2 linked regions of the Xenopus tropicalis genome follow. Each later gene encodes a partner of the first gene's protein in a complex. Links are inferred from orthologs where the notes say so. Each region holds a gene or a part of one and is shown on either strand. Other genes may lie near its edges.

Region 1 (3,755 bases):
TAATGCAGAATAATATGCCCTATAATGCAGAATGATATGCCCTATAATGCAGAATGATATGCCCTATAATGCAGAATGATATGCCCTATAATGCAGTATAATATGCCCTATAATGCAGAATGATATGCCCTATAATGCAGAATGATATGCCCTATAATGCAGAATGATATGCCCTATAATGCAGAATGATATGCCCTATAATGCAGTATAATATGCCCTATAATGCAGTATAATATGCCCTATAATGCAGTATAATATGGCTTATAATATCATATAATATGCTCTATAATGCAATATAATATGGTCTATAATGTAGTTTAGTGATAAGCAAATCTGTCCCATTTCGCAGTATAATCTGTCCTTACTATAGAATAATATGGGCTATAATGCAGTTTAATATTTATTATAATGTAGTTTAGGGATGAGCAAATCTGTCCCATTTCGCTTTGCCAAAAAATTTGCAAAACTGTTGAAAAAAAAGACAAGAAATTTGCAAAAAATTTTTGATGTAACCACAACTTTTTCCTGTTGGCGAATTTTTATGGTAGTTACACAGCAAAAATTGGCCATTGGCAAAATGCAGAATTTCTATCAAATGCATGCCTGCCGAAAAAATTTGCTCATCACTAATGTAGTTTAATATACCCTAATATGACCTATAATGCACTATAATATAGCCCTGCTATAGAATAACATGACTTATAAAGCACTATAATGAGGCCTCAAATGCAGAATAATTAGGCCTTTCTATAGAATAATATGCCATTACTGTAGAACAAAATGACCTATAATGCATGCAGGCTTTGTGTGTAAGGTAATAGGAGCTTGGGTAGGCTGAGGAATGTCTGGCACATAGAAGTGTGATAAGCAAAGTGGCAGTCAGATAGGACAGGCTTTGTTTCTGCCTTCTCCCTGCTCAATACCTTACATGGAATAGTCCGCTCCTCTCCCCTTTATAACATTTCAGCTATTTGCCTTTCTTTTAGTCCCAACGCTCTCTTGAGTCCCTCGCTCATCCCCCATTATCCAGAAAGCAGCTAAAGGTAAGCAGGGATGGCAGGGATCACTGGCATGTATGGGCTGGGGGTAATCTTCCCTTCTCACCAGCACTTCCTGCTCTTGCTGAACTATAACCTATCTTAGCTACTGGGAGCTTCAGCAGCAGCAGCAGGAGGGATTGACTTTCATATTAGGCATACAGTTGTATGCATAACTACTGACTACTGATATGCCATATTCCATTACTTACCTTGTCTGATAGCTAACTGTCTATCTATATTTATCATTAAAAAAAAAGATTTGGCAATTTTAGACCATTTGGGTTGTTGGGACTCCTGGGGTGGCAGTTGGCATTGAATTGCCTTGGTTGGTCAGGAGATTATTATAGAAGGTCATTAATTCACCCAAAAGTACCAGGGAGCAGCCCTCCTCCTTGGCACAACCTTTCAGTTAGAGGCATTAGAAGGGAACGTGCCAGGGTATTTCAGGGGATGGTACTAGGGTATGTAATAGTCAGGTAGCAAGGTTATGTTATATAAAGGTGCCTATCACTGTCTGACTCCTGCTATAACTATAATGATGTATATATGGCATCCTCAAGCAATAGGCTTTATTCTAATTGTATGAGTCGTAACAATTGTAACAGGATACACAATTACATACACAGCCATACCGTCACTCTCGCCTGGAAAGGGGCCAGTCCCAGAGCTTACAATCTAATTTCAGGGAATAAACAATCTGCACGTGGCCACAAGGGGCTGAGACAGGAATCCAGGATCTGGGTTACAGCCTACAGGCCTAGCGAGCATTTAATGCTATATTACTATATATTTATTGTGTTATTATGTTAGAAGGTGGTCACTGCGGATGCTGGGGTTGGTATGGGGATATTCACCAAATTTTGCACAACAGCTCACTGGCTGCATCCATGGTTAGACCTCAGGCCTGCCTGTTGGCATCATTGGATGGGTACTGGGGAGCCTGAGTGACAGCAGGAACAACTAAAATGTTGCTTTGTCAACAATGTGCCCTTAGTATTGGGGTGCCATTTTAATGCCTGTCTATCCGTCTGGGCTCTGGCATCCTGCGCAGACAGAAGGGCTACGAGCCTGTGTATCGGCAGATCCATAGCAGAACACACCGTGCCCACATTGCTCAGTGATATGGTTCGGCTGTTTAATGCTGACTCTGTGCCTTTCCTTATTAATAGGACTTGGGTACCACTCACACTGAGCCACTTCTTAAATAATGGAAATATTCTCAGTGTTTCTCCCCTTATTCCCACCAATCGCTATACAGACAGCTTATCCTTCATCCTCCCACATTGGTTCTACACAGTGGCACCCACCCAGATACACTCAGCTCCCAATGTGTGGAGGCAAATAGTATAGGAACTAGAATAGGGGCCATACAAGAAAGTTGGGGCTCTGTTTCCTTAACCCACTTCCATAAAATGCCACAATGCACTCATGCTTAACCCTTGCCCTCATCTATACACCCATTTTGCCAATTACACCCACTCTAGTGTATGGCACAAGGGATCCCTGTACCTAACATCTGCCCATACCAAGCAGTAGGAACAGGACCCACTTTGCCTGAAGCACAAAGGAGTGGTCCAAGTACTGCTCCTTCCTTAGCTGATGCAAGTTGGTACCATTTGTGCAGAATTTACCAGTGCAAATCTTTGATTCACCAGTGCAAAATGATGTGTCTGGCACCATTACTGTCAAAAATGGGAAGCAGAGTTGCACTGTGGGTAAATAAACTGCTGAATTGCGCAGATTTTTTTACATTTTGCTCTCCTTCATTCAACAGCTCTTAGAACCTTTATTGTTTCATGCAAGGCAGTGTAAATAGGTAAATCTCTGGTACCCGGGTTCCATCTAGTGCCTAAATGGTGAACTGCATGTTTGGAAAGGGAGCCGTCCAGTCATTATACACTGCGGCTGGGCTCACAGACCCCATAATATTGTTCATTCTAGGGGAAAATACTTCATTCATCTTTGTTCATAGAGTATCGGAAAGCTATAGTTTTAGCCAGTGGTTAAACTGAGGAATATTAATGGGGCAAGTGCAACTTCACAGTTTGTACTTTTTTTTTTTTTCAAGCAGTGCACCACAAATAGTTTCCCCCACCATGTTTCCCAGAAGCAGCTCAGTAAACCACTCTGCAGTCTTCGTATCTATAATGTGGTCCTTTAGTTGCTCCCAGTCCTCACAGGCCAAATACACATGGAGCACATGGAGGCGGCTGAAATCTTGCACACTTAACTGCAAAAGTGCCTGTATAAAATACTGGCATAACAAGATGTTACTGGGCTCCACAGCCAATTCATTTAAGGGCAATCCAAAACTTCCTGAAGCTGTATGCCTAAAAATTGCTCATGAATGATGGTCTCATGTGGCTTTCTTGCCTCCTACGTTGCTTTTTCTATAGTTATGCCCATGTGCAAAAATGGCACTTTGCTATGCATTCCATGTTTTGGTGCTCTTTCCTGGGCACCCCCAAGCTTTCACCTACTTGGCAGCATCCATCTCTATAAATGCTGCGGAATGGCCAGAAAAGAGTCCTAGCACTGTCCCTTGGGACACCCCTAGATTCAGAACCCAAAAGTCAGCCAAGTGCTAGGGGACATAAGGCACTGGGGGGAAGGGCTATACTTATATTATTTAACTATAATTAATGTAGGTCTGCTCATGGCCTAGATTAATTATAGTCCCTTGCAAACGTGTGAGGTCAAATAACCATAATCCAG
Region 2 (3,755 bases), on another chromosome or scaffold:
CCCCAAACCTTACTCTGACTGGCATCTAGGATACCAGCTCATTGGTCTGGGTCAGAACCTTGCCTTAGGTGGCAGGAAGCAGCCAGTTACTAGTGGTGGCAAAAAGCCACCTCTGGTAACTTTAAAAACAGAATTTTCATGTTTTAAAATGAAAATTCAGCTCTGCCAGTGCAGAGAGTGTAATAGCACTGCATACCAATGCAGCCCCACTAGACCCACTCTGCTGCTAGAATTGTAAGCATGGAATGAGAGAGAGGGGCGGCATTGGCCTCAGCTGGCAGCAGCCCCAAGATCATATATATAGTGGGCAGGTTAGAAAATTCAAGGCAATTTAGGGCAAATTAGTGCATTGGTGCAGCCAATCAGATCAGCCCAATTTGGCCTGGCATGTAAGTGACCAAATCAGACAGACAGATATGCTCATTTGGTGACCATGCCAGAAAGTACGTTAATAAGTGTACAGTCAGCTTAAGCCCAAATAGATATTTTCAATAAATCTTACCCTTGAAAAGACGGACAGAAAGACAGAGATATATGGATGCTCTGGTAGATGGAGGGGCAGTATTTAAACAAACAAATGAATATACAGATAGACAGGCAAAATGCCCATTATCCCTGTAGAGTTTGTATAGCCCCACCATAAAGTCAGTGTGTATGTGTGGGTCAGGGGGGCGTTGGAGTGCTGTGCATGCAGCTGGTATATGCAGGACAAGGAGAAGTGAAGGACAGTGAGTGTGAGTGCAATGTGGCTCATTCTCTGTAATATAATTACTGCAAAGTACCTGTACTTCCATCTAAATCTCCTGATATCTCCAATAGTAGGACACTGTACACTCCCCTTCAAACTCAACATTGCATTAGGGGCATTACATGGTACCAACTCTGCAAGAGGGTTCTATACATGATGAAACATGCTGTATATTATTTCATACTGGCCCATTGTAGACTATGCCTGGCTATGATTTTTCACACTCCTGTTCAGGTCTGGAATGGGATACAAAATAGGCACTGGCATTTCAAGTACACAGAAGCCCAAACAGCCCCCACCAGCCCAATAAATAGTGACTGTCTATGGCACCTTACAGCAGCCCCTCTGGCATTTCCCAGAATCTACAGATTGCCAGTCTGAGCCTGCCCCTGGTAATGAGCTCTAGGGATGCACTGAATCGAGGATTCGGTCCGGGATTCCACCAAAATTTGGAGTTTTTCAGCACAATTCAGATTTGGCCAAATCCATTTGCCAAATTCAAATCCTTAATATCATGTGACTTTTCATCACATAAAGATGAAGTTTTTAGGCACACTCTGTGAGCACGGTTCTCTTTGTCCCATCCCTAGCCTCATTTGACTATGGAAATTAGGATTTGGTTCGGGATTCGGCTGAAAATTTCATGAAGGATTCAGGGTTTAGCCAAGTCCCAAAATAGTAGATTCAGTGCATCCCTATTAATGACATTTGGTATTTCAATATCCTCCGACCATTAATATGCAGAATGCAGCTATATGGGAAAATGATGCTGCTACAGTTTCATTGGCCCCCTGTGCGTTTAGGCCAGTACCAGTACCCTGCGGGATGTTGTATAGGTCCTTACTGAGCCCTACAGACCTGCACAAATCCCTAGATGATGCTATGTTACATATGCTATATTATTCATTATCTAGCACACAATTAAACCTGTCATAAATCTCTATTCATCTGATTAAAATAAGGCATTTACAGTTTCTATTTCAGAGATGTCTTCCCTGTGTTACTGCAGATAATGTGTAAGTTTATACAGAAAATGATTTACCCCTAATTGTAAACTATCAGGATATTAAAAGACACCTAGGAGATCCATGACCATACAGATTATACAGGTCATGAAGTTCTGGGGGACATTATTATAACATACATGTTTCAGCCAGTCATGTGACACAAGTATCATCATTAAGCACTGTTTAAGAGAATACATTTTAAATGTTCATAGTTATACTGTACATTTCCATTTTACATGAATATATGCAGCAACTGACAATATTTCCCATAGACAGCAGTCAAACAGCAGCAGAATCTGATTTGGGATCTGAATCCCATTTGTAAATGAACATCCCCAGTAATGCAGCTGAAGGAGCTCTACAAAGTATAATAACAAGGTGATAGAATCCTTTAAAGTTATTGTGCTTTGACCATATGAGCAGTCATAATTCATTGTTAAAGGTAATTCCTGTAACAATATGGTCAGTGCACAGTGTACTTAGTATATTAATATTTACAGGAATCTCACCCTTCCTAAAACCAAGGGAACTGAACAAGTTGTATACAAATGCCGATCTATATTGCAACCCCTGCATCAGCACCAACCCAGAAGGAGCCCCAGGAGACGGGCTGATGAGCGAGCTTTCAGCTGTAAGGAGTAGGTTAAAGAGAATGCAGAAAGTTGAGCACATACCGCTGCTTTGTAAATATCATCCATTGTGAGTGATGCTGGTCAGGAGCCCAGGAGCCAATTGTGCAACACTGGTGACAGCTGATGGCTCAGTTTATATACCCCCCCCCCCCCCCCCCCCCGGCACTGTTTGCTCCTCCTGAGCCACACGTCAGCCTTCCCCTATCAATGGACACTTTCCAGGACATCCCCTTGGGAAGACAAAAGAGCCCACCTCATGGTTTCAAGTGCATTTATTTATATACCCAGCAGGAGCTGTGTGGCCAAAGATTTCCTTTTTCAGAGATGGAGGCCACAGGTTGGTACTAACATATTCAATAAGGGAAATATCATCACTTCAAAACCATTTTATTCTTTTGTACTGTATGCTGTCCATTTATTTCTATATTCTGAAATAACTGTCAGATACATAGGAGCTGTCCGACCTGCACCCTCCCTGCTGCTTTTCACAAAACAGAGAGCAAAAACCCTTTTCTATAGGATATTTTTCCTTTATTTCATATATATAACATTTCATGCTGTTCCTGGTACCAGCTGTCTGTGCTGCATCCTCACCCCCCGTCTTGGCTAAAAGATAAATTCACTGCACGACTGAAAAGAGTTCTTTAAAGAGTTCTAAATGTGTCAAAACAAACAAAATGCTGGAATTCATTCTCAGAGTTTAGAGGGAATGCCATATGTTTTCGCCTACAGAAACACTGCTACTACTGACAGGTGCTAAAGCAAGTGTCTCTGAGCCGAGGCTACTGGTCACCGCCAGCATGTTTCCCATAGCTTGCTAAAGGGAGCAGTGACAAGATTTTGTGTGTTGTGACTGACACTGTCCTATACTATAGGCTTAAAGTTCTAGGGAAGAAAAACAAAAACTAAAGTAAAATGAATATATTAAATTGTGTGAAAACTATAGGATAATACTATAGGCACCACCTCTCCCTACTATACCTGCTATCCCACAGCCCCAGTCCCTTCCCAGAGACTATTATCCCCACTGCTACTATAGGCACCATCTCTCCCTACTATACCTGCTATCCCACAGCCCCAGTCCCTTCCCAGAGGCTATTATCCCCACTGCTGCTATAGGCACCATCTCTTCCTACTATACCTGCTATCCCACAGCCCCAGTCCCTTCCCAGAGGCTATTATCCCCACTGCTGCTATAGGCACCATCTCTTCCTACTATACCTGCTATCCCACAGCCACAGTCCCTTCCCAGAGGCTATTATCCCCCACTGCTACTATAGGCACCATCTCTCCCTACTATACCTGCTATCCCACAGCCACAGTCCCTTCCCAGAGGCTATTATCCCACTGCTACTATAGGCACCATCT

Evidence for each region.
Region 2: the proteins of tnni3 (region 1) and tnnc1 are in contact, whole or in part, in a crystal structure (PDB 4Y99), measured with the Homo sapiens proteins. The link is inferred for Xenopus tropicalis from reciprocal best matches to the Homo sapiens genes TNNI3 and TNNC1. Residues at the interface, in NP_000354.4 of Homo sapiens: Glu32, Pro33, His34, Ala35, Lys36, Lys37, Lys38, Ser39, Lys40, Ile41, Ser42, Ala43, Ser44, Arg45, Lys46, Leu47, Gln48, Leu49, Lys50, Thr51, Leu52, Leu53, Leu54, Ile56, Ala57, Lys58, Glu60, Leu61, Glu64, Arg136; in NP_003271.1 of Homo sapiens: Asp3, Ile4, Lys6, Ala7, Glu10, Gln11, Thr13, Glu15, Gln16, Glu19, Phe20, Ala22, Ala23, Ile26, Phe27, Val44, Met45, Leu48, Gln50, Glu59, Met60, Glu63, Glu66, Asp67, Gly68, Asp73, Asp75, Glu76, Phe77, Met81.

What each region holds. Positions count from the first base shown.
Region 1 is NC_030683.2:104,548,530-104,552,284, forward strand, and holds the start of tnni3 (troponin I, cardiac muscle), read left to right. Parts: upstream 1-996; 5' UTR 997-1,043; intron 1,044-3,755. UniProt on the Homo sapiens protein: Troponin I is the inhibitory subunit of troponin, the thin filament regulatory complex which confers calcium-sensitivity to striated muscle actomyosin ATPase activity.
Region 2 is NC_030680.2:128,884,934-128,888,688, reverse strand, and holds the start of tnnc1 (troponin C, slow skeletal and cardiac muscles), read right to left. Parts: upstream 2,475-3,755; 5' UTR 2,454-2,474; coding exon 2,430-2,453; intron 1-2,429. UniProt on the Homo sapiens protein: Troponin is the central regulatory protein of striated muscle contraction. Tn consists of three components: Tn-I which is the inhibitor of actomyosin ATPase, Tn-T which contains the binding site for tropomyosin and Tn-C.